Linked DNA regions of Mytilus edulis. The main gene of each other region encodes a partner of the protein of the gene in region 2 in a complex. Links are inferred from orthologs where the notes say so. Each region holds a gene or a part of one and is shown on either strand. Other genes may lie near its edges.

Region 1 (16,452 bases), on a different chromosome or scaffold from region 2:
AGGGAAGAACAAAACAATTTGCGAAAGCAAATTTACAGATCTAACATTGTTGGGTTGATGCTTAGACGAGTTGTATATACATAATGTACACAGCCATGTATCACCATCATTGCTGGTGATCCGATGGATAAATCTGTTGTAGAGTTGTTACTGATTCAGATGTACTTATAAATATATATATATATTAAGACACATGTATGTAATTATTTAATAAATTCCGTTGTCCACTATGCTTGCTAGGCTATCAGTAACACTATATATATTATTCATTTATGCCTTATAATAGATATGAACGTATAGGGTATACATATAGTTATTCAAATGCAAAAGGTTGACATGAGATTATTTCTCTAGTACTGGTACAAGTTATTGAGTTCATATTGTATAGTGTATGTTTATATTGATAATTTGTCTTATTAAATGGCAGCTCACAATATGCAGTTGCTGATCTCGAGCTAGTCAACAAACATAAGTCTGTGTTGTGTTTTTCTTAAGGATTTAAAGGTTAAATGTTTTTTGTGGAAAAAAGACTAATTTAAGATCCTATGTCATTCAAGCTGTCTGAGTTAATATTGGTGATAATAAGATGTGGTATAATTGCCATTTAGGCTCAACTGTCCACAAGAGACCAAATAACACTAAAATAAACAACCATAGGTCACGGTACAGCCTCAACAAAGAGCTAATTCCATACTGAATAGTCAGCTATAAATGACAAATGTAAAACAATTCAAACATTTGTTTGTTTTTTAATATAAAAAAAGATGTATGATTGCCAATGAGATAACACAAGAGACCAAAATGACACAGAAATTAAGTATATAAGGGTCACAGTACGGCCTTCAACAATGAGCAAAGCCCATACTGCATAGACAGCCTATATATATATATATATTTGAGGGTAAGAGGTTAAGGTTTATATATAGTTATCAAAGGTACCAGACTTATAATTTAATACACCAGATGTGTGTATATGTATACCATCTTTTCCTCAAGTTTCTTGTTTTCTGTTTTCTGTTTGATTAAATCGATAATTAAGATCCATTTTATTACATCTAGTGAGCTGTTTATTTGGCAATTGCAAATGGCAGTCAGCAGGGTTTAAGAACATGCGTTGTTCAACCTGCTAATCAAATGCATTTTGTTAAAATATATTTTTTCACTTTTTTGGTCTTTTGGAAAATGTACGTTTGTGCTGTATTTAGACCCCTCTGCAAAGAAATTTGTTTTCCATGCACACATAAAGTCGTATAAAAATTGTGGTTTTTATCCAACGTAATCATGTTTGAAATTTGTTTTCAATTTAGACTTGTTTATATTTTTTGCGTGTGAATAGACTCCTAAATAAAATTAATTTGACAAAACCTATGTTAATACCCCTGCTATAAAGAGCAGTTTATTGAGTGAGGAAAGATGCACATGTCCATCCATCCCTATGTGCTTCTGAAAAGTATAGCAATGTTTGTGAGAGTAGCAGTTCTCATGAATATTCAAATATGACATCAGTTTTTGGATATCTCATTTAAACTTTTCATTGTTTTTTGTCAACAACAACTGCTAAATAACTGAAGGATAAATAAACTTTCAAAAAAAACCGCTATGGAATGCTATTTGAATACCTATATGCAAATTAATCATTGCCTTGAATTTGTAAACTGAATGCTAATGAACAGTGTCAAGTCAGAACTGTGAATACTAGTAAACTGCTTAAGAACTGCAGTCCACTTTGACTTGTCAAGTTGGGCTATAGGTCACTGTACGGCCTTTAATAACGAGCAAAGCCCATACCGCATAGACAGCTAGAAAAGGCCCCAGAATGACAAATGTAAAACAATTCACACGAGAAAAACTAAGTTAACAGCCTAGTCTATTTACAAAAAAATTTAGGGAAAACAAATATGTAACACATCAACAAATGACAACCACTGAATTACAGGCTGCTGACTTCGGACAGGCACATACAACGATTCAGAATGTCGCAAGGTAAATAAACATGTTCAGGAGGATCAAATCCCTCCCTAACCTTTGACAATGGTGAAACAGTACAACATAAGAATGAACTATAATAAACTGCTTCGCTGAGCTCAGTCTGATATGACCGCAGAGGTAAGTGAACCCTGAACAGTTGGTCCAAATTTGGACACAATATTCAAGTTTGATACTGTCTGAATTTGGATTGTTATCAAATTTTTCTTAAACATAATATAGGTTTCTGACACACACAAAAATAAATCAAGATCTTACAAATCTATTGCGCAATACTGTGCAATCAAAGATTTCTTCTTGAAACTTTTTGGAAAAAAAAATTGAACCCCTTAAAAAAATTGGAACCTCCAAAAACTTTTTGAATCCCCCTTTGGAGCAATTAACCCACACTTGATCCCTGCCTTTCCTTTGTAGTATGGAATCTTGTAGTACAATTTCATAGAGACCCATACCCTTAAATACAAGTTAGTATCTGGAAACTAGATATATGCTCGTTTTAGCCCTTTTTGGCTCCTAATTCCTGTATGAATGGGACAATAACCCCCAAACTCAATCCCAGCCTTCCTTTGTGATATGGAACCTTGTGGTACAATGTCAGATAGATTCATACTCTTACATACAAGTTATTGTCCAGAAACGACAAAAATACAAAAATGCTTGTTTTTGACCCCTTTTTGGTCCCGAATTCCTAAACTGTTGGAACCATAACCCTCAAAATGAATCCAAACCTTTTACTTGTGGTATCAAACATTGTGGAACAATTTCAGAGCAATTGAAATACTCATAGGTAAGTTATTATCCTGAAAGTAGAAAAGTGTTTGTTTTGGCCCCTCATTACTAAACGGGTGGACCATCACCCCCAAAATCAACCCAACCTTCTTTTTGTGGTACATGTATTGAACCTTCTGATTAAATTTCAAAGAGATCCATTCATGTAAACTCAAGTTATTGACCGGAGTGTTTTACGTATACCTCTCTTGATTCAAATCAATTCCTTATTTTCACTAAGACACAAAATATGTGTTACATGAGGACAAATTACAAATCAAATACAATATATATGACAGAATAGACGGGTAACTGATAACAAAAGTGTACATGCATCTAACTAAATGAAAGTAGATAGTTTCTTGATAAATAGTATGGAAAGCATGTTGATGATCAGAATTATATGCAGTGGTCCCAGCATTATATATGCAGTTGCCACACCATTATAGGGCCTGTACTGTAACGGGACCGGCAGTCTACCAAAAAATTCACCACTTCTTAGATTTTTGTAACATTTCAATAAGCGAATTATCATTATTCACATGGGAGGGTGGGGCTGTTCATTTTGAATTCAAATATATAAAATTTATTTGATCCCCCCATAATATTTCACTATTTTTATTTGACCCCCCCCCCCAACAAAAACATTTAAAAAAATGTGATCCCCCCTCTATTAAACATGTCAAAATTGTAACATGCAAAATATTTGTTATATCATAGATATCATGAGGCAAACATTAAATATTCTCAGTGGATTGAGTCCAAAAACAATATTCCAGGGAACATTGCCTTGAAATAGGGCTCTTCCAGTAATTTTAAGAGGTAAGCTATGGCAAGCCGTTCTCGTCAAAACTATGTTTAAACCATTTTTCGAAAAATTTACACACTGAGAATTACAACAAAGCACACTGAGATTTAAAAACTTCAAAACGCACACTGAGAATTGAAAATTACACACTGAGAATTGAAAATTACACACTGAGAATTAAAAATTACACACTGAGATTTCATAAAGACGCACCGAGATTACAAAAATGAAAAACGCACACTGAGAATTGAAAATTACACACTGAGAATTGAAAATTACACACTGAGAATTGAAAATTACACACTGAGATTTCAAAAAGACACACTGAGAATAAGTAAACTGAAAACACACACTGAGAATTTGAAATTACACACTGAGAATTTAAAATTACACACTGAGATTTGTGCGCACTTTTTATGCGCACCTATCTAATTAGCATACTTAATCTGTATCTATTACAAGCTTAAAACAACAAGGGGACAGAACTCGTTAGTCCTTCGATTTGATTCCAAATTATTAATAAAAAAAACTTTAGAAATACAAGAAAAAGAAAAATGCCCACTTACTCTTATTACAAAATATAACCAAATGGTGAAAAACTTTATTAAAATCATAAGAAAACATTGGAACAATCTGAAAAAGAATGCAGTGAAATTTTTACTCTAGTGTCTATTAAATATAGCATATAAACGTAACAAAAATATAAAAGATTAACTAGCGAAATCAGGGAAACAGTTGGAAGACTTTTGAAAAGGGACACATGTTTAATTACTGGTAGTAATGATATGAATTATAGGCAACAAACTTATGAATATGAGCGATGTTAAGTCTTGAAATTTATTACGAATGTTGGTTGAAGGAATCGCATTTCATTATAATGACAAGAGTTCTTGAGATCAAGATATTAATCTGTTGAATTATTCATCTCATGAATATTCATTAGTAATTTGCATATTAATCTCAGTGTGTATTTTTGAAATCTCAGTGTGTAATTATCAATTCTCAGTGTGTGTTTTTCTATTTATTTCATCTCAGTGTGTCTTTTTAAAATCTCAGTGTGTAATTTTGAAATCTCAGTGTGTGTTTTTTATTTTTTTAAATCTCAGTGTGTAATTTCGATTTCTCAGTGTGTTATTTTTGGTTTTTAAATCTCAGTGTGTATTTTTTTCGAAAAAAAAGGGTTTAAACATAGTTTTGACGAGAACGGCTTGCCATAGTAAGCAGCAAAGCTTTTTCTGACTCTTTTTTTTCTAATTTCCTATATTGAGCTATTGAAGAAAAAGTAAACTTTTTGATACAGCAACAACACATTAGTTACTAAGTGGGATATCTATTACCCGCAGTATATGTTCCTCTCTTGGACGCTGCTTGAAACTCAAGTTTTACAGTAGGCCTTATTGAAACCTCCATGAGGTTTATATGGATTGGTTATTCGTTCCTACTCATTTATTGACACATTTCATTCATACATTTATGTGTGATAGTAACCCCAAAATTTTGAATTGTTAGCCTAAAAAATACAGATTTTGAGGGAATGAGAGTTATAAATTAACTCAAAGGGATCTTAGAATAAATAAAAACGGTACGATGATTAGTGATGTTCAAACTTCTCATTTCTTTGTGCAAAAACTATTGATCCTCCCATTTTGAATTTACAATAAAATTTGAACCCCCCTATTCCACATACAGAAACAAAACTTGATCCTCCCTGTATTTTGACCAGCCCCCCTCCCAGATAAATAATGATAAGTCCCTAAATAAGCACCTGAAATATATGGTTATAAATCAGACTGTTAGAATAGGTGTGCCGATATAATAGGGGTTTTTGTTAACGCTTTATCCTGCTTTGTGACTCTTCACAAACTTTTTTTACTTAACATGAACCACCACAATTGGCGGATCCAGAGGGGGGTTCCGGGAGGTGGAACACCCCTTTTTTGGACGATCAATGCATTTAAATGAGGACATGTGTTTGGAACCCCCCTCTCCCCCCTTTATCCTGGGTTTGGACCCCTTTCAAAATGGCTGGATCCGCCCCTGACCACCATCACTGATCATCATCTTCATCAACAAACTAGAGCCTCTCAATAGCCTGTGTCGCTCACCTTGGTCTATGTGCATATTAACAATGGACACAGATAAATTCATGACAAAATGGTGTTTTGGTGATGGTAATGTGCTTGTAGATCTTTCTTTAATGAACATTATTGTTGCTACAATTATCTCTATCTATAATGAACTTGGCCCATTAATTACAGTGGAAAATATTTCCTAAAAAATTACAAAAAATAACAAAAATTTATGAAAATTGTTAACAATTGACTATAAAGGGCAATAACTCCTTAAGGGGGTCAACTGATAATTTTGGTCATGTTGACTTATTTGTAGATCTTACTTTGCTGAACGTTGTTGCTGTTTACAGTTTATCTCTTTCTATAATAATATTCAAGATAATAACCAAAATCTGCAAAATTTCCTTCAAATTACTTATTTCGGGGCAGCAACCCAACAACCGGTTGTCCGATTTATTTGAAAGTTTCAGGACAGATAAATTTTCACTTGATGAAAAATTTTACCCCATGTCAGATTTGCTCTAAATGCTTTCGTGTCAGAGATATATTAAGCCAAAATCTACATTTCATCCCTATGTTCTATTTATAGCCATGGCAGCCATCTTGGTTGGTTGGACGGGTCAGGCCACACATTTTTTTAAACTAGATACCCCAAAGACGATTGTGGCCAAGTTTGGATTAATTTGGCCCAGTAGTTTCAGAGGAGAAGATTTTTGTAAAAGATGACTAAGATTTACGAAAAATGGTTAAAAATTGAATATAAAGGGCAATAACTCCTAAAGAGGTCAACTGACCATTTCGGTCATGTTGACTTATTTGTAAATCTTACTTTGCTAAACATTATTGCTGTTTACAGTTTATCTCTATCTATAATAATATTCAAGATAATAGCTCAAAAACGGTATAATTTCCTTAAAATTGCCAATTCAAGGGCAGCAACCCAACAACGGGTTGTCCGATTCGTCTGAACATTTCACTGCAGATAGATCTTGACCTGATAAGCTGGTTGGCCAGGTCACGCCACACATTTTTTAAACGAGATACCCCAATGATGATTGTGGCCAAGTTTGTTTTGATTTGGCCCAGTAGTTTCAGTGGAGCAGATTTTTGTAAAAACTAACGACGACAGCGAACGACGCTGGACGCAAAGTGATGAGAAAAGCTCACTTGGCCCTGTGGGCCAGGTCAGCTAAAAACGTATGATGTTGGGACCACTACATATCAGAGGCGGATTTAGGGGGGGGGGGGGCTCCTTTTTGGGAAAAAATTTGGTTGCTTATTTAGGGAATCACTGAAGCGTGACTGGAGCGGGCCCCCTCTTAAGTCAGTCAGTGGGCCCCCACTTATGAAAATTTCTGGATCTGCCACTGCATATAACAGGGGTGGAACCAGCATTTTGGAAAGGGGGCAAAGTGTTTAAATTCGCCGAGCGGAGCGAGTCAAAAAATTTTGGGGACCTTTTTTTGCCGCTACAAAAACATGAAATAAGTGTAATATGCACCTTTGAAACGATTCCTGGCGTGGTGCATGTATATTTTGTAGTTCCCGTAAGGTGTAACGGGGTTGGACATTTTCGATGCTGTATTCTCCAGGCTATTAATTGTCTGTCATAAAATGATAGCACGGATTTCAAGCTATTTACTGATAACTTTGATGTGGGAATTTTCAGTAAAAAAAGACATTGAAAATTCTCGCTGGTTTGCTGTATGTTAAGTTATCATAACCTCACAGATTTTTTGTTGTAAACAAGATACAAGTCGGGCTGTTCGATAAAATTTCCAATACAGCGGACACGAGCTAAAAAAGACGAACAAGCAATATTTATTCAAATGTTTGGTTAGATATGTTTCGCCCAAGAAAATTAAGGGATGCGAGGGATCCCAAACCAACCAAAAGCTACCAATGCGTCTGAAATCATCGGGCAACGAATATATGAATGACGGTCGAAAAATGTAGACATTAAGGCTACTTCCAGCTGTAGGTTGTAGTCTGGTCTTGAAAAAAGTATTCAATATATCAGTTCGGCGAAACAGACATTCCGGTCAGACATGCAAACCCCGGCCAAAATAAAAAATACGCCCGTTTTTATCTATCATGTTCATTTAATGCTTAATAATTCTGTTGGATATTCGTTTCTAATAGCATAAAAATGATAAGATTATTGTTTTCAATCCAGATACGGCCAGAATTTCATCTCTCAAATATCTCAGACTGCCTCCTCAAATCAAATGGTTCGTACCTTAGAATTTAAATCTATCTAGAGCTTATACTGACTGGGGATCATTATTCAGCTGTTATTTTAAAATAGGATGCCGATCATGGGGCGTTACGAGTTAAACATGTTTTCGTAGGTAAATAATATTGCTGAGGAACTTTTTTTTTTCATGAGAGTGTACTAATTTAGAGTATTACTGTTTTGTGGACTAATGAAATAGAAGTCACTATGTTCTTGCTCAATCCTGTGTCGCCTTGAAGGTTTTAAGATTGTCATGCTCAGCCTAAGCAATTTGTGACAGTAATTTAAATTTCAAAATGACTGAGTGACGTTTTTTCGACGCACAGGGTTGCGTTCAATATCGTAGCGGCTACCGTAGTGCTACGTAGATTTTGACTATTGAACGCGTAGCTATAGACTAGTTGTTACATAGATATTGATAGCAGCTACATAGCTGCTACGATATTGAACTCAACCCTGGTCAACTCCACCAAAGTGAATCACATGACTTTCAGTTAGTATACGGGCGTTTTTCAATAAAAGCGTTCCTTTCAGACCTAAAAAAAATGGAAAATCAACTAGTCTAAAATTTATTTTCAAGAGTTATTTTGAATACCTCTATTATAGACATAGGCGGATCCAGGGGGGGGCTGGGGGGCCCGGGCCCCCCCTTTCGTGGGAAAAATTTGGTTGATTATATAGGGAATCATTGAAGCATAACTGGAGCGGGCCCCCTCTTAGGTCAGTAAGCGCCCCCCCCCCCCCCCCCCTTAGGAAAAGTTCTGGATCCGCCACTGATAGAACTGTTTGTAAACAAAAAGTGCAATCTTAAATACTCTTTAAAATGATATTATTTTCATAATTTGTGTACTGTTTCGTAGGGGACTTTTGTTCTCTACGAAACTGCTTCTAAACACACATATTTTTGCAATTTTAAATGTTTCCTATAGACATTCCAGTTTGTTTACGTTATATACTAGAACAATCTCATTTTTTTCTGAATTGGAGAACCATTTTTTATTGATAAAGATTAGACAGTACTTCACATATGAAGGTACAACTCATGTTACGCAGTGGACATTTTGATGCGTTTCGTAGTTGACAAAACCGTTTCGTAGTGGACAAAAAGTTTCGTAGTTGACATAAACCCTATTCTATGTTAATAAAAACATAATAAAAATTACATGAAACTAACCTTTGTTATTTGTTTTGCACGAATATAATTGAAAAAAGAGTAAAAAAAGACTGCATGGTAGTGATAGTGTCCACTACGAAACGTTTTTCTCCCATTGGCAAACTTGTTTCGTAGGGTATTTTGTAGGGGACGTATTCACATGTTTTATTTTTTTCTCACAACCCCAATATTGCAATAGTAACAAGACTGACTGTATTCATCAAAGCGTTATTAAGCTATACACTGATATTTTTTTCATAATTTTAAAACCAGTTACTGAAGGAGATTTGACCCGTTTCGTAGTGGACATTTACAAAAATACGGTATCACTCTGGTCCATTTGATGTGCTCGATTTTTCTTACCAACAGTTTAATTGCCGTTATAAAAGCATCACTTCTTTTGTAATACCCTAATGTTTATATCTCTTGCAAACAAAAAATTACATTGATTTTATAAAACTGTTTATAAGCAAGTTTTAATGACTTCGTTTCGTAGTGGACATTGTCACGGTTAGGGACACACCTTCTAAAATAAAAAATCCTATGTCAAAAGCTGTTTATTAAAATATGTTGGCTCTAAACATACTTTTGAATTATTAAAGAACTTATATTAAGTAAAATTAATATTTATTTCTTCATTTTTTTACGATATTTGAGAGTATGAATGTTGAACAGGCGGTCTAGGGACATGCCATTTTGGTTGTTTTGGACCATTCAGGAATCAATATCTTATCAATCTCTCTAAAAAATAAACCGTTTCTTTGCTTAAAAATGTTATATCTAATTCAATGTACTGACTGCACAAAAAATTACTTGCAAAGATCAAACACATTTTTTTTAAAGTGGCTAGGACAAGAAAGTACGTTTTTATTGAAAAACGCCCATACAGTGATACACCAGCGAAAAATATCTTTATATTAAAGTAAAGAATTGTCACATAAAATAAATACACGGGAAATACCCTCTACGCCCCCTCTGGATCCGCCACTGCCTAAATATATGCCTTCGCATTATATATTCACTATTTAACGTTTTCATGCTGATATTTTAATTTTTCATTTTTTGTGGTAAAATTAATGATTCACTGGTGACGTTGTTTAAACGTGGATGTGACTGTAAAATACTAAAGCAGGTGCTCGTGCGTAACTTCCTGTCAAGAAATTATTATTGAATCGATCGAACTGACAGAACTGATATTCACGCATTTTAAATAGACATAATCAATGGGCAATATAAATGCATTTGATTTCTGAGCTCATTGACCATTTCAGCTTATTTAAACTGTAAACCATAATTGCAAACATTTAAAATATGCCAAACAAGAAAGGGCTTCGACTTCCGTCAACATCGGGCGATGGCATGCCACCAGTTGCCGTGCCGGCACCGACACCCCCTCCTCCGGTTGCAGTGCCAACCGTTGATGCTGAGTATGTTTAGTTACTTAACCTGTTACTCAAGAAATATTTTATTTTGTTACATAACTTCTTTTCATATAAATCTCAAAAGACCCTCCTGGGATCTAGTAGTTCATGTACAGTGATACATATCTTGTCAACATTCCACTCGAATCAAGGGGTGTTTGTCTGTGAGCTTATATGAACAGGCAGTGTCTGTATGTACCCGCATTGGGTACACGTAGCCAAATTGGACTTTGTAGGTTACATGTATCAGCAACCGATTTTATGTTAAGCCCAGACTGTCATATGATCATGACTGTCATGAGGAGAACTACTGCAGAATGAGATACTATATTCCTGGTTCTATTTTTACTTTTTGTTTCAGTATTAATAAACTTTATATCATATTCTTTTAATATTAAATCGACCTCATTGCACCCAATGCCTCTTACCTTAATTATATCCTACATTGCTCATATTATCAATTTATTATTTGTGTATTACTTATAATATTGTGTATTTCACTAATGTTTATATAATCATTGTATGATGTTTTTGTATCTTGCCCGACAAAGGCCCATGATTGGTTTAATAAAATAATGTCTAATATATATGATCAGGAATGGACAATGATGGAACGCAAAAGATGCACAAAAATTGTCAGTTATTTCCTGATTTTGTGAATTCAGTGAAGATAATTGCAAATAATATATCTTGATTTGTATTAAATGTAAATGCACTATAAAAGAATAAAATTATACTGAATGTTAAAATTTGAGGGAAAACAATGGTGAAAATTATTTCTTATAAAATTTGAAACAGAAACGAAAAATTTAAAATATCTTAAATGACTAAAAATTAATTTTGAGTGTATATATACACAATTTAATGTAATACGATAAAATTCAATATGTCTAAAACTAGACGCATTTGATAATTTATCCATTCAGGACTCTGGATTTATCATTTGCTAATTCTACTGTTCCACCTGAAATATTTCAGGTCTTCGTATATAGGTTTAACTGCTGAACTGTAGCTCTTAGGTCCTTATGTTATTTTTTTACTATTTGCAGACCTGAACTGTGGCTACAGTTCCGCAGCTAATATAGGTTAAAATGACCTTATTTTGTTTCTGTTTTTTTACTTGTTTGTAATTCCTTTTCAATTTGATTCTCATCTAAATAAATAAATATTCAAAAATTAACCAGGATCATTTCTACAAAAGTGTAATAGGGATGTAGTTAAATAAAATCGGCATTCATCTTTTCAATCATTATCGAAATTTTGTCATTTCAAATCTTAAAATCTGTGAGAAATAAATTTTTCACTTATTGTGATAATTTCTGGGGATATTTCACATTTTATTCCTGATCTAATGACATTAAATTATAAAACCAGAGGCAGGTATGCGTAGCCTACGAAGGCCAATTTGGCTACATGTACCCTCATGCTGGTACGTGCAGACAGTGCCATTTGAATAACCAGTGTTCTTGCAGAAGGTTGTGGTTCCACATGGGCTAGGTTTTTCTCTACCAATTAAAACTGACTTCCATGACACAGCCTACCGTGTAGATATACATGTATAATCTTCAAACGCCACAACAATGGGGGTAACACCAATGACACATGAAATTTTACTTTTTAATACATATTTGTGACTTTTAAACGTTGATTTATAAATAATATTACATTGTACACTGTAAGTATGTTATAACTTGAAAATAATTTATTAAAGCAGGTAAGTTAAAAAAAAGGACATTATGATTTCGGTGATAAATCCACATGACGACCAAGGAAATTAGAATCAGAATACTAAAAGACTGATTGCATATAAATGATCGCCCAATGTGTTCAATTTGGACTACCGAAGTGGACCCCTCATTTGTAAAAAAAAATAAAATCTCAGACTTGAAATGTATTTTATTTAACATGTTTATTTAAACAGACAACAAAAATCTGATTTTACAAAACAGTTCTTTACATGTTTTTGTACATGTTTTACATAATAAAAAATGGCACTTAAACTAAAAGGCATTAAGAGAAAATATTTCCATAAGGTCCAAAAAAACACAGGTATGTGGTTGTCCTGATAGGCCCTGTGTCTGAATAAGGGAATAGAATAACAATTGTTAACATGGTTAATTTGAATACAAAAGTATTTTCAAATTTATGAATCTATTTTCATGATTCAGATTGTACAAAATTGTATTGTAGCAGGAATTACACATCATTACACAAGGTATTTGCTTCTATTCATAATTTATACAATATTATTATTATGCACCAAATTTTTATACAACTGCAAAAATTGAAAATTTTTTGGTCGTATATTGGTATCACGCTGGTGTTGTTGTAGTCATCGTCGTCCGAATACTTTTGGTTTTCGGATTGATTTTGGAAGTTTTGGTCCCAACAGTTTAGGAATTAGGGACCAAAAGGGCCCAAATAAGCATTTTCTAGGTTTTCACGCTATAACTTTAGTTTAAGTTAATAGAAATCAATGATATTTTGACACAAAGTTTATGACCACAAAAGGAAGGTTGGTATTGATTTTGGGTGTTTTGGTTCCAACTGTTTAGGAATTAGGGGCCAAAAAAGGGCCAATTAAGCATTATTTTGGTTTTTGCACAATAACTTTAGTATAAGTAAATAGAAATCATTGAAATTTAAACACAAGATTTATCAACACAGAAGGAAGGTTGGGATTGATTTTGGGAGTTGAGATCCCAACAGTTTAGGAATTAGGGGCCAAAAAGGGGCCCAAATAAGCATTTTTTTAAACACAAGGTTTATGACAATAAAAGGAAGGTTGGGATTGATTTTGGGAGTTTTGGTCCCAACAGTTTAGGAATAAGGGGCCCAAAGGGTCCAAAATTAAACTTTGTTTGATTTCATCCAAAATTGAACAATTGGGGTTCTTTGATATTCCGAATCTAACTGTGTATGTAGATTCCTAATTATTGGTCCAGTTTTCAAATTGGTCTACATTAAGGTCCAAAGGGTCCAAAATTAAACTTAGTTTGATTTTAACAAAAATTGAATCCTTGGGGTTCTTTGATATGCTGAATCTAAAAATGTACTTAGAGTTTTTATTATTGGCCCAGCTTTCAAGTTGGTCCAAATTGTGGTCCAAAATTAAACTTCGTTTGATTTCATAAAAAATTGAATAATTGGGGTTCTTTGATATGCCAAATCTAACTGTGTATGTAGATTCTTAATTTTTGGTCCTGTTTTCAAGTTGGTCTACATTAAAGTCCAAAGGGTCCAAAATTAAACTAAGTTTGATTTTAACAAAAATTGAATTCTTGGGCTTCTTTGATATGCTGAATCTAAACATGCACTTAGATTTTTGATTATGGGCCCAGTTTTCAAGTTGGTCCAAATCAGGATCCAAAATTATTATATTAAGTATTGTGCAATAGCAAGAAATTTTTAATTGCACAGTATTCAGCAATAGCAAGAAATCTTCAATTGCACAGTATTGTGCAATAGCAAGAAATTTTCAATTGCACAGTATTTCGAAATAGCAAGAAATCTTCAATTGCACAGTATTGTGCAATAACAAGTATTTTCAATTGCACAGTATTGTGCAATAGCAAGAAATATCTAATTGCACAATATTGCACAATAGCAAGAAATTCAATTGGAGTTATCTTTCTTTGCACAGAATAGTAGTTGAATCAACTTAAATCATTGTTTTATTCAATATACAATGTATATTCACTTTTACTACCATATGATAAATTAAAACAATCTTTACCATTCAGTGATAACAAGCACTTTTTTTTACATTTTAATAATTAATGATGTATGTAAATGAGTAGTTATTGTTGCAAATTCCATTAGTAATTTGAATTGAGATCAGTTTTGGATTATTTGGAATAAGGGAAAGGGGGATGTGAAAAAAAATTGGGGGGGGGGGGCAATCTTTCTCATTTCAGATTTCATAAATAAAAAGAAAATTTCTTCAAACATTTTTTTGAGAGGATTAATATTCAACAGCATAGTGAATTGCTCAAAGGCAAAAAATGAATTTTAAGTTTATTAGACCACATTCATTCTGTGTCAGAAACCTATGCTATGTCAACTATTTAATAACAATCCAAATTTAGAGCTGAATCCAGCTTGAATGCTGTGTCCATACTTTCCCCAACTGTTCAGGGTTCAACCTCTGTGGTTGTATAAAGCTGTGCCCTGCGGAGCATCTGGTTCGTATCTTCTATTCAGTGATTTTTATCATCATGATTTGATATCATGTAAATGTTTTTTTAAAGAAAACCAACAAACACAGGTACAGCAAGTATGGAAGCACTTGCTTTAAAGCTTAAAGAACTTGATATAAACACACAGCAAAGAGAGAGATTAGAAATGTTTCTTACCCAGAAACAGCAAGTAGGGGAATTAACTCCTGATGACTTTGACAAACTTGGAGAATTAGGGGCTGGAAATGGAGGAGTAGTACTTAAAGTTAGACACATCCCATCAAGCTTAATAATGGCTAGAAAGGTAAGGATGTGTGTAAAAAACTATTGAAAGCTGATCATTATTACAAATTGTTGTTCAAAAGTACCATTTGACCCAGATTCTAAGGCATGGGTTAGATTCCAAGTTTTACAGCTGTTTGTCTGAACATAGTTGGTTCAATGATTATGGACTTCTAATTTTGGTTTTTAATCTGATAATGAACTATCAGTGCTATATATTTAGATTTAGGGGTTCTTAGCATCTAATTAAGTCTTTTCCTGACTAAAAAGGTCCAGATTAATACATTTCTGTACACTAATTGGGTCTTATTACATGTATTAGGTAAGAAATACCAGTATCACACAATATCCTGTCATGACTAGAATTATCAGAATGGTTAAACCTTTGAAATGTCAGATTTTAACATAAAAATATAGATAAATTCTTAAACATCTGATTATGGTTTGGTATGATCTGTTATTTCCTTCTGCTTTAAATTTCCAAGTGTTCTGACTAGGGAGAGATATGACTGCGCTTTTATGTTTTCTTAATCACAGTTCTAAAATGATTTTTTTTTAAATGTTTTGTAGGTATATGTACAGTGTATGTAACAAAATCTACCTAAAGGCTATATCCTATTACTGGTACATGTATGTACAAGTATTAAAATAATCTGAAACCAATAAAAATGCAGAAAAGGATATAGCAGTATTTAATGATATTGAATTATGTTTTCTTGTAGTTAATTCATCTAGAAATCAAGCCAGCAGTTAGAATACAAATAATTCGAGAGCTAAAAGTTTTACATGAGTGTAATTCACCATTTATTGTTGGTTTCTACGGTGCATTTTACAGTGATGGAGAAATCAGTATTTGTATGGAATATATGGTAAGTTACTGGGGTTATCTAGAGAGATTTCAAATTTCAGAAAGACATCAATGCACACAGTAATATTTAAGAGATACAGCTCAGTAATTTTGTTAATTATAAAAGAGTTGTTTTTTTATTTCATACTTACATGTATGCTTGTACAAAAATGTATTGAAGACATCTACTGTGGTGTATGATTAAACTTACACAATTAATTCTAAAATATTTGGATCAGCATGACTGATATTTAATTAATGCTTGATTGGTTATTTTAAGTTCTATATACGGATCCAAGAAGTAGCTTTTGTAGGGATACGTTTCATTTTGTATTATTTAATGCATGCAATGTATTTTTTACAAACTAGTTATCTATCATTTTAGCAATGAATTAATTCTATTTTTTAGGATGGTGGTTCATTAGATTTGATATTAAAGAAAGCTGGTAGAATACCAGAACCTATACTTGGAAAAGTAACAGTAGCTGTAAGATTTTATTATATATTGTGTCACTGAGTCTTTTGAGCTAAGAACATGAACACATAAGGATTACTTCCTTCTTCTTGCATCTTTGTCCATGTTATCTGTGTTGTCTTTGTTGTCCTCGTCACACTGTCTTAATCTGCAATGCCTTGAATACAGCTTGACAGAAAGCAAACCAACTTGCTTAGATTCTTCTGTGAAGTACATGACAGTTCTG
Region 2 (17,064 bases):
AGAACCAAATCTGTAATAGAGATTTTTCAGTCATATCTTCTTTACCTGTTACAACTTTTTAATTGGCAAATGCAATTGGGTCAAGAATCGTATTAGTTTCTGCATAGGTGGTAATGGTAACGTTTTCTTCTGTTGCTCAGTCCATATCGTTAACTTGGATATGTGTGATGGCTCGTTTCGAACCAGACATTTTTACATATGTGGTTAAATTTTCGTGGTACGAAGTGAGATTACTTTTTCCGTAAATTAGCAAACCCAGAGTATCCTTTTCTGATGCGTCTCCTCGGAGTAAAAAATCCCATTTTTAACACAATAAGTTCATTGAAAATTTAATACTTTGAACACATTCAATAGCTCCATAGATGTGTTCCCCTACTTTCTAAATTAACACAAATGATTTAGCTCAGTGACTTGTTTATCATAGAAAAGTGTCAAATATCACTACACAGAGATTTTTTGTTAACACATGACTTTTGAGTTCCTCATTTCAAGGCGCATTAGGGATATTGTCCCAATTGCATTAAACATATTTAACAAAGGGAATATAAATTTCAAGACCAATTTAATAAACATGATAAACATAAACATGCAGATTTACAATTATGATTTAGTACACCCTCTAAATGGCTCTTATATTCTTTAAGAAATTAACAAGAAGATAACATGTATAAAATGAATTCTTCAGGGGCAGATCCAGCCATTTTTAAAAGGGGGTTCCTACCAATGCAGGATAAAGGGGGGGGGGTCCAACACACGGAACACCCCCCTCCACCCTGGATCCACCACTGACATTGACTTAGATACATGGGAGCTAGATGTACAGGTCAGTAACATATCAAGTAAATCATAAAATCAATGAGTGGAGCACTCGTCAAGAAATGTAAACAAAAAGTGTTACATGTACTTTAATGAACTTAATAACCTTGATTTAATAAAGCTACATAAACCAGGATGTGTATCCTAATGACTGTTAAGTAGTTAATATACTCTGCATTCTTTTGTAGTGTATTCGTAAGTTTTCCACAACAAAATCCCCTTGTTAGTTTTTAATTTCATTATGCAATATAGTTTTGATGGCTCTATTTTGTATTTTAAAAAAAGGCACCAAAACTATTTATTTTGTACTTTTATTGTTCATGCAAATAAAAATTGTTTGCGCAATGTTGTCAGATATATAAATATCCATACTTCTTTCAATACTGAAACATTGCAAAACTTATTCTCTATGTAACATTAATATAATCATTGTTAAAATTGTTAAACGGCTATTCCTGCAAATATTTCCCTTTACTGAACATAGTGACGGAAAAATTGAGAAACATGCCTCTTTTATCCCAATTTACCAGTACTCTAAGCATTCACTAAGCCATTTAAGCTAGAGTATCTTTTAAAGTATTCTTACCTGTCCAATTTTTCAGATTTTGCAGTGCATTATTCAGCTTGTGGAAATCATCTTCTTTAGCTTCATATCTTTTGAGTAGATTTTTAAGTTCTTCTACAGTCATGTCGAGTAGAGAATTCAAAGACAGTCCTCTCTTTACAATATCCTATAAATAAAAGTAAATATGAATGAAAAGGTTAAGATATAGGTCATAATCATAGCGTTTTAATCTGCGTTTTAATCTTAGGATATGTTCCAAATGCCTAACATAATAATTATTAATTAAACTAACACTTTCTTTAAAAAAAAGAGACATGTATGTATGTAACATTCCAAAAACATAGATGACACCAACACATAGATGTCTGTTGAGTTTTGGCAATGCCTTGCCTAGGTTCCATGTATGTTTTATGGAACAGTCCTAAGCAGGAAAAGGTTTTTAATTGATTAACTACGTAATAAAGACATAACTTACGGAGATGTAACTCTTTAATCCCACTATGGTCAGCCATTGTTCAGTTTTAGGATATTCGGACAGATGTTTCTTGTTGTCTTCGGCTTTCAGTTGTGTTTTTGCTACCAGCTGCTTACTAAATAACTTGATCAATTTTGTCTGAAAATAAAACATTAGAAAAATTAACCACATGTTTAAAACTTTAGTAAAACAATAATCAAATAAAAACAACTAGACAGTTCTTACTGTATGAGCACTTTTCTTTTGTTGAAGGCAAGAAGACCGCTAGACTTATTTTGATTTTTTTTGTGTTGCTTAGTTGCTGCCTCATTGTTGAATGCTTTATCTCCATTTATAAAAATAATTGTTAGGCTCCTGTGGATGAATGGTCACAGTATTCATCAACATGATCAAAGAACAGTCAAACATTTGAAATGATTCATCTGACTAATTATACAGGCTGATATTTTGTAAAAATATTTATTATTGCTATTTTGTGCATTTTTCCTTTGATCTTATTTTGTGATAATTTTTCATATCATGCTACTCGCTTGAGATGGAAAATTATCGCTAGAAACTAAGGAGCCACATGCCGTCCTCAGTTAAATAGCGATAAACAGATTATCATTGGTCATCTCAACGTGACCGGCTCAAGCGAGAAAATCAATCTTGTTGAGATAACCAACAATAATCTATAATTATCAGTAAAATCCAGGATATATATATTGCCAAATAAAATGTTAAGAACTGTTATGACACTGGTCAAGGTATTTATTGGATGTAAGTTCTTATACAACTACTTTTTATGCTTTGTTTTGCATTTGTGTGCCTCTCCCACAAGTATCCCAAAGAGGCTTTACATGTTTTTATATATAATTGTTTGCCATCATAAAATGAAAAGTATAATCATGTAATATCTTGACTTTAATTGCTTATCATGTTTATGCTAAACAGAAAAAGAGTCATGAGGATGTAATACAGTAATTCAGCTAATTATATATATTCATTATCATTTAGGTTAAATGTCATTTTTTTATCTTCCCTCTTGTATAAGGAAGCCAAGTCAACGACATTTAAACATTTAAGCCAACATTTAAATGCCATGCACATCTATCTTCACAGGGATAGATACAGATAATAAAGTGAAGTTTCAAAATTCTTACATGGATTTCCAAAGAATATATTATTATATATTTATAGCAATACATATATACATTTGCTTATCATAATTCTTTATTTGATCATGTTTATTGACAAACAAACAAAGAACAATTTGGTCATAGCAATACATGTTCAAAATATATTAGTACATTGTAAATAAATGATTTGTACAATGTAGTTGTAGGTTGTTAAACATCAAAGGTAAAGTAATGATATGTAATTATTATATATTAATGACATGTTAATCAATTACATGGCTGTTAGGTATGGTCTGATGACAGGTGTTTATGTCTTAACAAGACAGTTGCACTCTCTCATTGTTCCTACTAAACTAAAACAAATTGTTATGATGGTTAAGGTTTTATATATAGCATTCCATCAGATGCCACCCCATCTCTATGATAACACCTTTTAAAGTCTCTATGATAACACCTTTTAAAGTCTCTATGATAACACCTTTTAAAGTCTCTATGATAACACCTTTTAAAGTGTATATATTTTAGTGCGGGTGCTATATGCAACTTAACTTACTTTAAATAAAGCTAATGATAACAATGACCACTGCCCTTTCCTCGATCTTGATATCTATATCATAAACGGGAAGCTTAATACAAAAATTTATGATAAAAGAGATGATTTTTCATTTCCTATTGTTAATTATCCATTTTTAGATGGTGACGTTCCCTTGTCACCATCTTATGGTGTTTATATATCTCAACTTGTACGATTCGCTCGTGTATGTAACAATGTATTAGATTTTAGCGAGAGAAATTTATGTATTACTGAAAAATTATTACACCAGGGTTTTCGATATCACAAACTGGTCAAAACATTTACTAAATTTTATCACCGGTATAAGGAAATAATTCGTAAATATAACTCAACATGCAGACATCTTATACGTTCAGGTATTTCACATCCAAAATTTTATGGAAATATTCTTTATAAAGCACAAAAATGTCAGTATTCTCCTCAGAAACTAACAAAACCTTTAAATAGACTTATTAAAAGGGGATATAGTTACGATACTGTTGTCAGGTCATTAAAGATTGCATATTTTGGATTTAACATTGATTCACTGATAGGGTCTTTGCATCGGAACTAAACACATTTATTTCTAAAAAAACAGTTGTTGGCATGACACGGGTTATGTTCTTCTCATATATTTTATGATAGTATGATACTAAACCCCTAACGGGAGGGATTGTACCTGATATTCATATGATGAAGACATAATCTTTCAATCAGTTTAATTGAGGTCTGGAGCTGGCATGTCAGTTAACTGCTAGTAGTCTGTTGTTATTTATGTATTATTGTCATTTTATTTATTTTCTTTTGTTACATCTTTTGACATCAGACTCGGACTTCTCTTGAACTGAATTTTAATGTGCGTATTGTTATTCTTTTACTTTTCTACATTGGCTAGAGGTATAGGGGGAGGGTTGAGATCTCATAAACATGTTTAACCCCGCCGCAATTTTGCGCCTGTCCCAAGTCAGGAGCCTCTGGCCTTTGTTAGTCTTGTATGATTTTAAATTTTAGTTTCTTGTGTATAATTCGGAGTTTAGTATGACGTCCATTATCACTGTACTATTATGCATATTTTAGGGGCCAGCTGAAGGACACCTACGGGTGCGGGAATTCTCGCTACATTGAAGACCCATTGGTTGCCTTCGGCTGTTGTTTGCTCTATGGTCGGGTGGTTGTCGCTTTGACATATTCACCATTTCCTTTCTCAATTTTATTATGAAATATTGCAAAAGGTCTTGTTGCTAACTTGCTATACATGTACATGTACATCATATTTGTTGATGTTTATGTTTACTATTTTCTTAATAAATCAGGCCATTAGTTTTCTCATTAAAATTGTTTTTATTTGTCATTTCAAGGCCTTTTACAGAGCTCTATCTTTAAGGGTACAGATTTTGAGCATCATCTATGGTTGAAGGATATACAGAGTTGAATGATCTTTCAGTTATTTCACTAAATGCCTATAGTATAATGTCTAGGAGAGAAAAAAAAATCCTAGTTGAGAAAACAACCTTTACTATACTTATACATGTAGTTTGGGATACAATGATACAGGCAGGTTAATTTTCCCCGTCAAAAAGTCAAAAATAATGCATTCCCTAAATTTCCATTTGGCTCTACCAATTTTTAGAAGTGACCTTTGTTCCTTATCAACATGTATAACAAGAACATGTATGACCCACTTAAATCACTTGCAACCAAATAACAAGGTCAAACAACACTAAGGTCAACAATAGACAAGTGTTCTTATATGCTGATCTACAAATTGACCCAAGAGTTGTAGGTTTATTGAAAGTCATCAAGCACTTAATAGCTGACAACTTCTAGGATATTAGTTATTGATTCTCCTGTTTGCAAAACTACATGTACTTTTCTTTTCTCATCATGTGCAGATGTGATATAAAGTTCAAATATTCATAGATTGTTGCTCATTTAATGTCCTTATCACACATATTCAGGTGGATTAACTTTTGATATTCAACAAGAACATGAATGGCATCATCTCAAATTATTGGAGCCATTTAACAAGAATGTAAGGGAGCAACCATTTCACTTCAGACTGTACAAATGTCTTGCTTGTTCATTTCACTTTTCCATATTTTTTTCATGTTTTTTTTTTTTTAATATCAGATACATTTTAAGGTATCAAGACCATTATTACAAATTAAAGGTTACTTTTAATTACTATGTTTCCACTTCTAAATTTTAGAAGTAAATTTATTTGAAAAGTGATGTCTTCCTGATGAACGTCATGAAAGTTAAGAAAAGGAAGTTCATTAAATATGTTCTTATTGTAAGTGTAAGCTGAATAATGAAACTTTCATCTTAAAAATGTGTCAACGTGATTTGTCAATAAAAACAAAAACATTGTACTTCTGTGTATAAAACAGACAAAAAAACAAGAATGTGTCCACAGTACACTGAAGACCCACTCAGACTATCATTTTCTATGTTCAGTGAACCGTGAAATTGGGGTCAAAACTCTAATTTGGCATTAAAATTAGAAAGATCATATCATAGGGAACATTTGTAATTAGTTTCAAGTTGATCGAACTTCAACTTCATCAAAAACTTCCTTCACCAAAAACTTTAACTTGAAGAGGGACAGACGGACGAACAGACGAACAGACTAAGGAACAAACCACAGACCAGAAAACATAATGCCCGTCCACTATCATGACTATTGCAGTTGGGGCATAAAAAACACTTGTGAAGTCTAATACATGACCATTTCAAATTCATGTAGCTTTTCATACATACCCTTCCAGTGTTTTCGACAGTAATGTGATGCTATCTGAATTAATTTTCTTATTGATCATGTAGATTATGTTATGGATGTGAGCAATGCTATTATTTTTAGAAACAAGATGATATTTCAAATTTCCCTGCCTACCAGGATGCTAAATGAAATGTCTGGGGAGATCACTGCCTTCATAATTATAGTTTTTACATCCAAACAATACATCATTTGTACATTATTTTATCCTTTTTTTTTTCTTATTCAGGTCCAATTGTCAAAAGTTTAAAATCTAAAAAGACATGTTAGATGTAAAAACTTTGATATTAAACTTTTGATTACAATCTTAGACAAACATATATATCACTATCTCAGCACATGTACAATGTACACATACAAATGATTCATTTCATTTAAAGCTAAATTTTGTAAACCATTTTCATGACTTTCAGATATTACTATTTTATAACTTATAAGAAAACAAGAAAAAATTGGAGAATAACTATCATGACTATAAACATAAAATATATGTTTTAGTAGGCTAAGACTACATGTATGAATATTAGATGTCATACGATTGTCAATGAGACAATTTTCCACCAGAGGACAAATGACATAGAAGTTTACAACTTGCATTTAATTTTTTTTATTCAAAAAACTTTTAAAAATAAAAACTTATAACTACAAATATAACAAATATTACTTGGATAATTTCCATGAAACACAGTTTGTGCCAAAGAAAATTATACCTTGTTCATGTAACATAAAACCCTTCAAAATTCATATGAACGATATAACATGTATAACTATAAAGGCCAAAAGTGGAGACATTTTTTTTATTTATTTTCACAAATCTATTAAACTTTAACTTATCATGGTAGTGTCAGTGTAGTTATGGCTAGAGGTTTTGACACTGGCTGATTATCTTTAAGTACATTATATACAAAAAGGTATGATCATATATTCATCAATAAACATTTTCAATACATGTTTACCAAATTTAAAATGTTGTAAATTTTACAAAACAAAGTCTGATTTGTTGAATCAATTATTTTCACTGACTACCGGTAATTAATAATCATCCTGTTAATTGGTTAATCACCTAATTAGATTATGGAACAAGTAACAAGGTAGTGTCAATTAACAAAGTAATGAAGACGGGGGGTTAAATGCCTTCCGGCATTAGTCAGCTGTTAAATGTTTACATTTTAGAGACGTAAACAAAAGCTAATCAGGGGCGTTTCAACAATTATTTGAATACCTCCGTATCCCTGATTTCTTTTTGTGTAATTTCTTCTGAAGGATCGCATTGTTCACGTAATCCTTTCAATTTTATCGCCGTAAAGTCGATCATATCTTGCGCTGTCGTGCACATTGAAATGGCCCTTTTGATCTCTCCATTTTCGGCCTCTGATGAGTCTACCATCTTCCTAAAGTTACCTATACACTAAATTACGGTGCATGCTTTTGAACTTCCCTAGCAACAAATTATTTTTTTACATGTAAAATGATCAACAAGTAACAAAATAGTCGTCATTTGTTATTTTTTGACAGTCCAAAATGATTTCCGCCATATTGCGAAGCAAGCACTCTCGCAAATTGACGTCACGTGACTTAGACGAGACGTAATAAAATTTGCCGGGAAAGAGAAATGACAACAAAAGAAGAAAAAGCTACAAATCCTAATTTACCATGGTATAATAAGATATTTGCGTTATTTCAACTTCAGCCATTTATCTTCCAACATGTTTTAAATCATGAAATTGTTTGACAGTAAACTTAATAAAACAACACATTGTAAAAAGAAGAAAAAAAGGGGGAGGTAGATCTTGATCTATAGTTTATACATGTATTGTAGGGTATCCACTAACACATCCTGACACTGACGGACGTTTTACACTGAACATCAGTCTGAATAACCCCGCCCTAACAGTACCTGCTAAAGGATGGATTGAAGATGGGTGTTAAATATTCAGTGCCAGTGGCAAATATTACATGCATGATTGATTCAATGATTAATATTTAATGTAGACCGAATTATTCTGTCCCTATAATGCATATATTTACTGATTGACATTTGCTTTTTATTAATATTGCTATTTTCTTTTTTTGTGCAATATAGAGACAGAAAGCAGTGCCCATTCAAAGATCGTGGACAATTTGTTTGGGCTCATTTTTCGCTTATTTTTTACTTGTCAGACATCCGTACCTGTATACACTTCCAGATAAATGTTTTTTCTACATTTTCGTGTGCCTAACTATGATCAACGTCCTTTCTGAGTCCTAGATAATCCAATTTTTTCAACATTCAGTACATTCTACTTTCATTCTCGGCAAGTTTGACATTTTGAAATATTTCGACCAATCAACGTTGATTTCCGGTAACTAGGATCTTCTACCTTCTGTACGAATAACCTGTGATATCTAATTATAACCCTAAACATTTTATTACAAAAGTTTTTTTTTTTATTAAAAATCCGAATTTTTCGGTCTGTCTCAGGATGGACAGACTGTATCTAATTCTGTTGGTTAATTGACAGATAAGTTAAGAGTAAAATGAGATCAATTTACTGCTTAAATCAATCCAGCTTTTGTTGTAAAAACTGCTCTTACAAAATTGTTTTCAGGACGCAACATAAACGGCTGTTAATGCTTTTCAGCATTTGACAGTTTGAGTTAATGAGGGCAAGGGGGCAGACAATGTGTAATGAGAAATAGAAAGCTTTACCTTAGGCCACGGTTTTTTAATTTGTTGGTTTACGGATTTTCTCCATGACAAAGTCGGGTCGGTCGGTCGGGAAAAAAATAAAAAAAATACCTTTCAAGACAGAAAACTGATATGCAAAATAAATATATATTTCACCTTTCTAATAATATGTTTGTTATCCTATTTTGTCATCATTTCTTAAATTTTAGTTTAATGAAATATTATTGCTCAGTTGTAATAAAAATTGCATGACATTGCCTAATAATTTCCCGTAAAAAAGGGGGTGCACGGACAAAGACGTAATTAAATTTCATAAAGGAAGACAAATTCACATAGCTCTTAATCAATTCCAGAAAACTTGGTGAATAATGATCTTCAAGAACGAAAACTGATAAAGAAATAAATGTAAAAGCGTGGTAAGAAAATAATTTTCAACACACGCGTCAAAAACGTAATAGACTCGTCCACTGGAAAAAACGAGAATATCGGGTTAATCTGTTGTCATGCATTCCCGTTTTTATCCAAATGGACGAAATTTTTTTATTATCTATGAAACAAGAAAATTTTAAATGATCTGTTAATATTCAGTACTTTAACTTGATGTCCTGAACTTCCACCTGTCCACATTTGGACAAGTCTATTTCTATGAGAAAATGCATCTTACGGACTGTTGACAAATAAGAGAAACGAACTTATTGTGTAATTTGTTTTAAACACGGGTTTCGTTCCACAAAAATATTTGTCCAAACGACATGTCAAGGTCATTAATAATTGATTTATCTATTTTTAGAAACGTAAACTGGAAGTTTCATTTTTTCACAACAGAAAGTGTTATCAATTCTGTTAGTGATTAATGCATTTCATTTTATAAAAAAAGGCTAATTTATTTATTTTTCAGGGATAATGCATTTGTTAGGGTCGGCGGGAATGAAAAAGCATGAAAAGTCAATTTTATTTTTATTCTGGAAATAGGCAAAATCAGGTCGGCGGATCCGTAAACCAACAAATTAAAAAATCCTGGCCTTATAGGCAGACATGGTGTATGATTCATATTTATTTATAAATGAATCTGCCCCAGCACCATGTCTACTTTTATTCTTTAATATTTCTCTGGCTGTTCCAACAACAGTTTATACTAGAGAAGGAAAAAAATTCCATGTCCTATTAATATCTACAATTTTTTTTCCATAGCTTTAATAAGGCAAATACCTTGCATTCTCACTCTTCTCAAATCTGGAATTTTAATATTTTCAGATCCCCACTCTTCAAGAATAAATTCTGTCAAACATCAAAGCACATCTATATGTATAACACAAAGAGGGTGCAAGAATATTACCCCTTGAAAAATCATAATCAGCTGCTGCTAAGCATCGATTTGATGTGTTTTTACTACTATAAAAAAGGCGCTAGGAATCTGTTCCCACATGTATACCCTGTGTGTCATTGACATTGTTAGGTTCAACAAAGCCAAACATAATACCATGCCAGATTTTTCACTGCCAATTTTGCTTTAAGATAAGTAATCGGCAAGAACATATTCCTATTACTACCCATGAAATGCATAAAATTTGCATTTAAAGTTTATTTTCATATTTCTTACACAGAACAAAAACAAAAATTTTTAAAAAGCTGTAGATGTAAGTACTATTCTAAATATCAAAGAAACATGCAGGCACATCAAATGATTTCATTTGGAATCTGTTTCTGCTATCATCGATAGAAAAAAATAAAAAGTTTTCATAAAATAAAATGTTTAACCTACCTACCCTACATAAAAAAAAAAATCGGGGTGAAATAGGAAACACTGTTTATTTATTTTGGCCTTACCAGTTGGCAGGTCTGATGATTGATCCATGTAAGTTGGCAGTTACAACATTTGTCATTCATTCATTTGGTGAAAAGTTTATGGGGGAAAATTGTGTTCAACATTAGCGTTGGTTAAATAGCCCGCATTACTTATTTTAACTCTTATAAGTTATATACATTCATCTAATTCATATCATAATTATTTATTTTTTCAGGGTTGAAAAATATAGACCAAAACAGTTAGATGACCTGATATCACATACAGATATAATATCAACAAGTAAGATGTAACATTCAATAGCATATTATTTATGCTTTCGCAAATAAAAAATATTCATTCAATCAATCTTTATGTAGTTGCACACTATATTATGAGTGCTCTGCTCTAATATTAGAAGGCATTCAAGGAATAGGTCAATAGTGATAGACTATAACTTTCCAGTCTGAAATATTTATTTGCCCTGACTTATCTGTCATTCTGAAACAAACAGTTTACCGTAGTTTAAACATATTTATTTATAGTGGATTGAGAAACTAGTTATTGCAACTTATATTAATCCCTTTCCACTTTGCAGGTGCCAGTGCTGCCTTGTAGTGGCATTAGCCTGCTCTTTTTCGAAATCTAAAAGGGTGTCTTTTACTTGCAAGAGATATGGCTTTCACTTAAAACTGGTCAGCCATTTATCATTCCCTTTCTGACAGACTTGTATTGTTTCCTCAAGACCATACTCGCAAATGGTGTCAAGCGACAAATGAAAATTCTGTCCCTGAAGTGGGGATCGAACCAGGAACCTTTGTGTTAGTAGCTATATATAGTCTGATGCACTAGCTTTCAACAGTTTCAGATTTGTTTTCTAAACACCTTCACTTATTGAGCTGATTTTTATGCCCCACCTACAATAGTAGAGGGGCATTATGTTTTCTGGTCTGTGCGTCCGATCGTTCGTCCCGCTTCAGGTTAAAGTTTTTGGTCAAGGTAGTTTTTGATGAAGTTGAAGTCAAAACAACTTGAAACTTAGTATACATGTTCCCCATGATATGATCTTTCTAATTTTAATGCCAAATTAAAGTATTGACCCCAATTTCACGGTCCACTGAACATGTAAAATGATAGTGCAAGTGGGGCATCTGTGTACTATGGACACATTCTTGTTAGTATGTGAGTCTACCATGATGAGTTACAGATCAATTGGAGCCGTTCATGCTGTTCAAACAAATCTAGTTTCATAGAGATATATATGTAGACAGATATACAAATTTGAGAGTATTACTCTCAAATTTACTGTATTATTGTTTGTTTTCAGCTGGGAATCACTTAATATAGTGGATGAAATTCATTTTTCCTCAACTCTTATTTTCAAATTTAAAACCATACTAACCATAAGTGTATTATTGCAAACCAATGATACCTTTCCATAGATTCATCTGATAGTTAACTGTCCATTTAAACTTTTGGCAGTTCATTTGCCCCATTGAACAAATACAACAGGTATTGTTCTCTGTGTAGTTTATTCACTTGGACCTTTAAATTTTTTCTAAGAGAAATCTATCACTCATTGATTAATTTACCTGAGTAAAAAATTTATCTGCTAGATAGATAGAAATAACATATTTTACATGGTTCGCAATAACAATATTAATTGAAAAAAATGACTAGTGAAAACCATTCAAATTGGAAAACAAACAAGTCTTTAATCTTTTTAAAACGGTGAAACACTTATGAACTTCTTACAACAAACGACAACCTCTGAACTGAATGTTTTTTTTTGTTTTTTTCCAGTTGGTAAATTTGTGAAGGAAGAACGATTACCACATCTGTTGTTCTATGGACCACCAGGAACAGGGAAGACTAGTACTATATTGGCTGTAGCTAAACAGATATACTCACCTAAAGAATTTAATTCTATGGTGCTCGAGGTTTGTTTCCATCCACCATACAGGTTGTTTTCAAGATGCTTTGTGTAAATGGATTTTTTGGCACACTCAGCCTTTTCTTGGAGGCCACTAGCTTTTATGAAAGAAAGATACCTATTGATTTTAAGGTCACTACATCTAAGGTCAAAGTCTTAGTTGCAAGTTAGATATTTTCATTTTTACATTATTTGGGAGATATTGAATCTCTGACTGTTTTTCCATCCTTTTGTTTAATTTTCCATTTTTGTACCTTCTTGTGTCTCATTTCTATTTTGAAGAGAAATCTAGTATGTTACTTGTAATATTGCTAATTTATCTCAACAGTTGAATGCCTCAGATGACAGAGGGATAGGAATAGTGAGAGGACAAATACTTAGTTTTGCAAGTACAAGAACCATATTCAAGTAAGTATCATTTTAGAATCATATTGATAATTGAAACTCAAAGAAGCATGTAAAAAGTGAAATAACAAAAATAAAAAACTCCAAATAAAATTCAAATAGAGAAGTCCCTTAACAAATGACAAAATCGAAAGTGTCATATACCATAGTCTGATCTATCTGACCGTTACTTTGAGCACTTTGATAGTAAAACCCAGTCCAGTTTGTGTCCAGTGCATAACTTATGTACTGTAAAACTTGGATAACCAAACTTAGTATGCAGTTGCATCATTGGGTAATGGTGTGTCATATACCCATGAATGTGTTCTCAACTAAAATTTGTAATTCTCATATGCTTAAAGAGCATTTTTTGACAATTTTTGAATTTTTAAGGTAAAATTATGTTGTATTCTACTAAATTTTTCAATGTCCAGAGAAAATGTTACGGCCATGTTCCATATTCAGAATATTTCTACTATATTGCATTTGTTTAAGTATCAACATATGCTCATTTTACCAAAAATCATACTGATTCATTTATTTCTATGAATAGTAGATGCTACATAATGAATTTTATTGGGTCTTAAAGATTATGGATGCTCTCTCGATTATATTAACAACTTTTGTAGTTGTGAAATGGTTTTGTATAAGGCCAATTAAAATTAATTGATAGATTTTCATCCCCGCCCGCCCCTATGAAATTGGCCCGCCCCGAATTTTTTTATTTTATAAAATTTACAATTTCCGGATTTTGTTCATTTCCGTTACCGGTAACCATTTAAATTTCGTTTCATTCGAAGCTTCCTGTTTCAAATTTCGGTTTTGTACCTCGAGTAAATCTAACCAAAATGATTAAGTCGACATATTCTGCTGCTCTCATGATGACAACATCATCTTCCGAGAGTAAATATTGATTACGAGAATGACGTAAAAATATTCGTGTTACGAGAAACACTCTGTTTCCAAGACCGCAAATTGGGGTATGTCACAAATTTCTGAGATTTATAGAAAACTGGATTTTTTTTATTTATGCAATGGCTTTGTGTCAGGAAATTCAAACTGTGAATGATACCCAAAGCACAAGAATCGTGGAAACCATTGATACAGAAAACATGACTGGATTAAAGATATTGAAACACAAGCACGAACTTGTTAGATTTATGACCGTATTTTGAATTTAAAAAGTCGACAAACATACGCATTTTATTTTTATGTTGACAAACAGCAAATGTCCCAATACACACAAAAGAGTCATTAAACAATACTTTTTTTTTTTATTAAGTTCATGTTTTACATGATAATTATAATTTCAGCTTGTATAAGTACCAACCCTATTATTTCAACACTATTCGAGTTTTCATTTTATTATGTACTCATAATAGATAATAAATGTATTGCATACCATTGCATTTGCTTCATTTTAAGGGAATACAAACCATCGTTTAGAAACCCAAATACATTTTGTGAAGGTAGTCCAACTGAAGAGAGCATTTCTCACACGTTTTCGTTGTTTAGTTTTTAAAGCCGCAATTAGATAGTATAATTTATTTATGGATTTGAAAAATTATGTAAGATTCCTCATACTTGAGTATACATGATATAAGCTAATCATTACACTTGCATATATAAATAACTCGTCACAAAAGGGTTTCATATGAAATAAAATTTAAAAAATAAAATCCTCCCACCCGCCCATTATTTTTTAAAAATTTGGATGAAAATCTACTAATTAATTTTAGTTGGCCTAAAATGCACTTCTTATTTCTGTACATAGCATATTTCAAAAATGTGTCTGCGGATAATGAAGAAAATGATTAAAATTGCATCTTCACCTTTGATAGATGCTGATGTAATTCTTTTAATTTCATATTGAATACCTCAACGTTTGGATGCTGGCTTCCAATTATTTATAGATTCTGGCATCCCAACATATCCGGAAACTGACATCCCAACATATCTGGATGCTGGCATCCCAAAATATCCGGATGCTGGCATCCCAATACTTTTGGATGCTGGCATCCCAAAATATCCGGATGCTGGCATCCCAATATATCCGGATGCTGGCATCCCAAAATATCGGGATGCTGGCATCTTAATATATCTGGATGCTGGCATCCCAAAATATTCGGATGCTGGCATCCCAAAATATCTGGATGCTGGCATCCCAAAATATCTGGATGCTGGCATTCCAATATATCTGGATGCTGGCATCCCAATATATCTGATGCTGGCATCCCAAAATATCTGGATGCGGGCATCCCAAAATATCGGGATGCTGGCATCTCAAAATATCGGGATGCTGGCATCTCAATATATCTGGATGCTGACATACCAAAATATCCGGATGCTGGCTTCCCAAAATATAGGGATTCTGGCATCACAACCTTGCAGACATGTACCGTTTTTCATTATGACACGAATTTAAATGCTGCTTTCTAATCAATTGGATTTTAGTATTAATCCACCAATATATCACACACTACATTTCCTAAGGTTTTGATGTGTGTTGAATGCATATGAAAACAATCAAGTAAACATAAAAAAAAAAGCTACTGATGAATGCCTGTAGATTATATTTTTAGTCTTTGTTCATGTCCAGTGGCCAGTTTAATGCATATTGAGAATGTGACATCATAGGTCAGAGTGTGAAATGTATACTTGACCAACAAACTGAGTCTGAATTGTAAAGTGCTAGTTGACCATGTGAATGCTGATGTCAACAATTTGATATTTATAAAACTATGTCAATGTACTACCGGTAAGTTTCCAATAATTAGCCAATTTTAATGTTATTTTTCTGAATAGCCAATTTTAATGTTATTTTTCTGAATTTGATTACCATTATGTAAGACATGATGTATACATGTTATTGACTATTGTGGTCTCGAGACAATACATTTATATATGATGACATCAGGACTATAATTTTCAAATCTGATATGCTCATGTTTCGAATGTTCATTGAACTTTTTTTTTTAAATAAGCTTAATGCAATTGCCAGCGGAAATCATATCAAGTTTAGTAGTTTCCAAGGCTTTCAGAAATCAACTGGACAAAATTTTAAAAAAAATGCTGCTCATCTTGTATGGCATTTTATCAATCAAATGAATTTGCCCAATGACCATCAACCTTGGGAATTTCTGATGAACTAAGTCATCCAGGACAAACACTCTACAAACGGATTGGTGACTGTACCTTTATTAATGTTTTGTGTCTATGAGAAACCCCATTGGCATCCAATGTATAAATTAAGGAGATTTGTTTCCCGCAATTGCCTGTATACAATAAAACGTGTACCACAATGCAATATTTAAAAATAATCTATAATTGATACTAGTGCACAGTGTCTATGATCTGTACGTACTGGATATTGTCAGTATCTCTGGACTTGCTGTATACATCTTCCAATGAGTCAGTACATCATGTCAGGATCTTCTAGTACTTGAGCCTTTCATTTCATTACAAAACTTACATTTTCTTTATTACAATCATTATTAAACTTGTATCTTTTTTCTGTATTTTAAAATTTCAATATTTGTTAATCATTTAATCAAATCAGTTGCACGAACTGGAACTTTCAAACTTTCTATTATCATGTATTGCTAGTGATCTGAAATCAGCTGGAATCACAAAAGATCTGGTGCTGTTTGGATGATTCGTCGTCTGAGTTTAACCTGTCCAATAACTATAAAGTGTTGCGATACATTAATACACAACACATGAATAGTAACCAGAAAGGTGAAGCCACTTCTTTTTTTTTTTTTTTTTTTTATTATTTTTAACTTCCAATTTACAACATAATATACACAAATATAACAGCAATATATAATATATAAATCTATAGATATTATCTAATCAATACATCTTTCTATTAGGAAGTAATTTTTTTTTTTTTTTTTTAAATATACAAATATTAGATAAAGAGTAAAGCAGTTTGAACACCGGAGAGAGAGAGGTAGAAAGAGAAAGAGAGTGAGAGAGAATAGTGTGGTG

What was found.
Region 1: the proteins of kinase suppressor of Ras 2-like (region 2) and dual specificity mitogen-activated protein kinase kinase 1-like are in contact, whole or in part, in a cryo-EM structure (PDB 8BW9), measured with the Drosophila melanogaster proteins. The link is inferred for Mytilus edulis from reciprocal best matches to the Drosophila melanogaster genes ksr and Dsor1. Residues at the interface, in NP_001287177.1 of Drosophila melanogaster: Gln767, Tyr828, Asp830, Met831, Gly832, Leu833, Gly834, Val835, His837, Arg849, Ala850, Leu851, Gln852, Asp888, Gln889, Pro890, Ala891, Glu892, Ser893, Ile895, Trp896, Gln897, Gly899, Arg900; in NP_511098.1 of Drosophila melanogaster: Gly98, Gly99, Lys123, Asp236, Met238, Ala239, Asn240, Ser241, Phe242, Val243, Gly244, Thr245, Ser247, Met249, Arg253, Leu254, Gln255, Gly256, Ala310, Met311, Ala312, Ile313, Phe314, Leu317, Asp318, Val321.

Annotation. Positions count from the first base shown.
Region 1 is NC_092347.1:76,734,049-76,750,500, reverse strand, and holds the start of dual specificity mitogen-activated protein kinase kinase 1-like, read left to right. Parts: upstream 1-10,153; 5' UTR 10,154-10,334; coding exon 10,335-10,450; intron 10,451-14,694; coding exon 14,695-14,926; intron 14,927-15,626; coding exon 15,627-15,773; intron 15,774-16,160; coding exon 16,161-16,238; intron 16,239-16,452. UniProt on the Drosophila melanogaster protein: Required downstream of Raf in the sevenless (sev), torso (tor), and Drosophila EGF receptor homolog (DER) signal transduction pathways.
Region 2 is NC_092349.1:83,180,555-83,197,618, reverse strand, and holds the start of kinase suppressor of Ras 2-like, read right to left. Parts: upstream 7,869-17,064; 5' UTR 7,691-7,868; coding exon 7,526-7,690; intron 1,995-7,525; coding exon 1,857-1,994; intron 1,548-1,856; coding exon 1,403-1,547; intron 1-1,402. Other genes in the region: replication factor C subunit 5-like, read left to right, coding at 7,916-7,959, 10,993-11,057, 12,558-12,694, 13,016-13,095.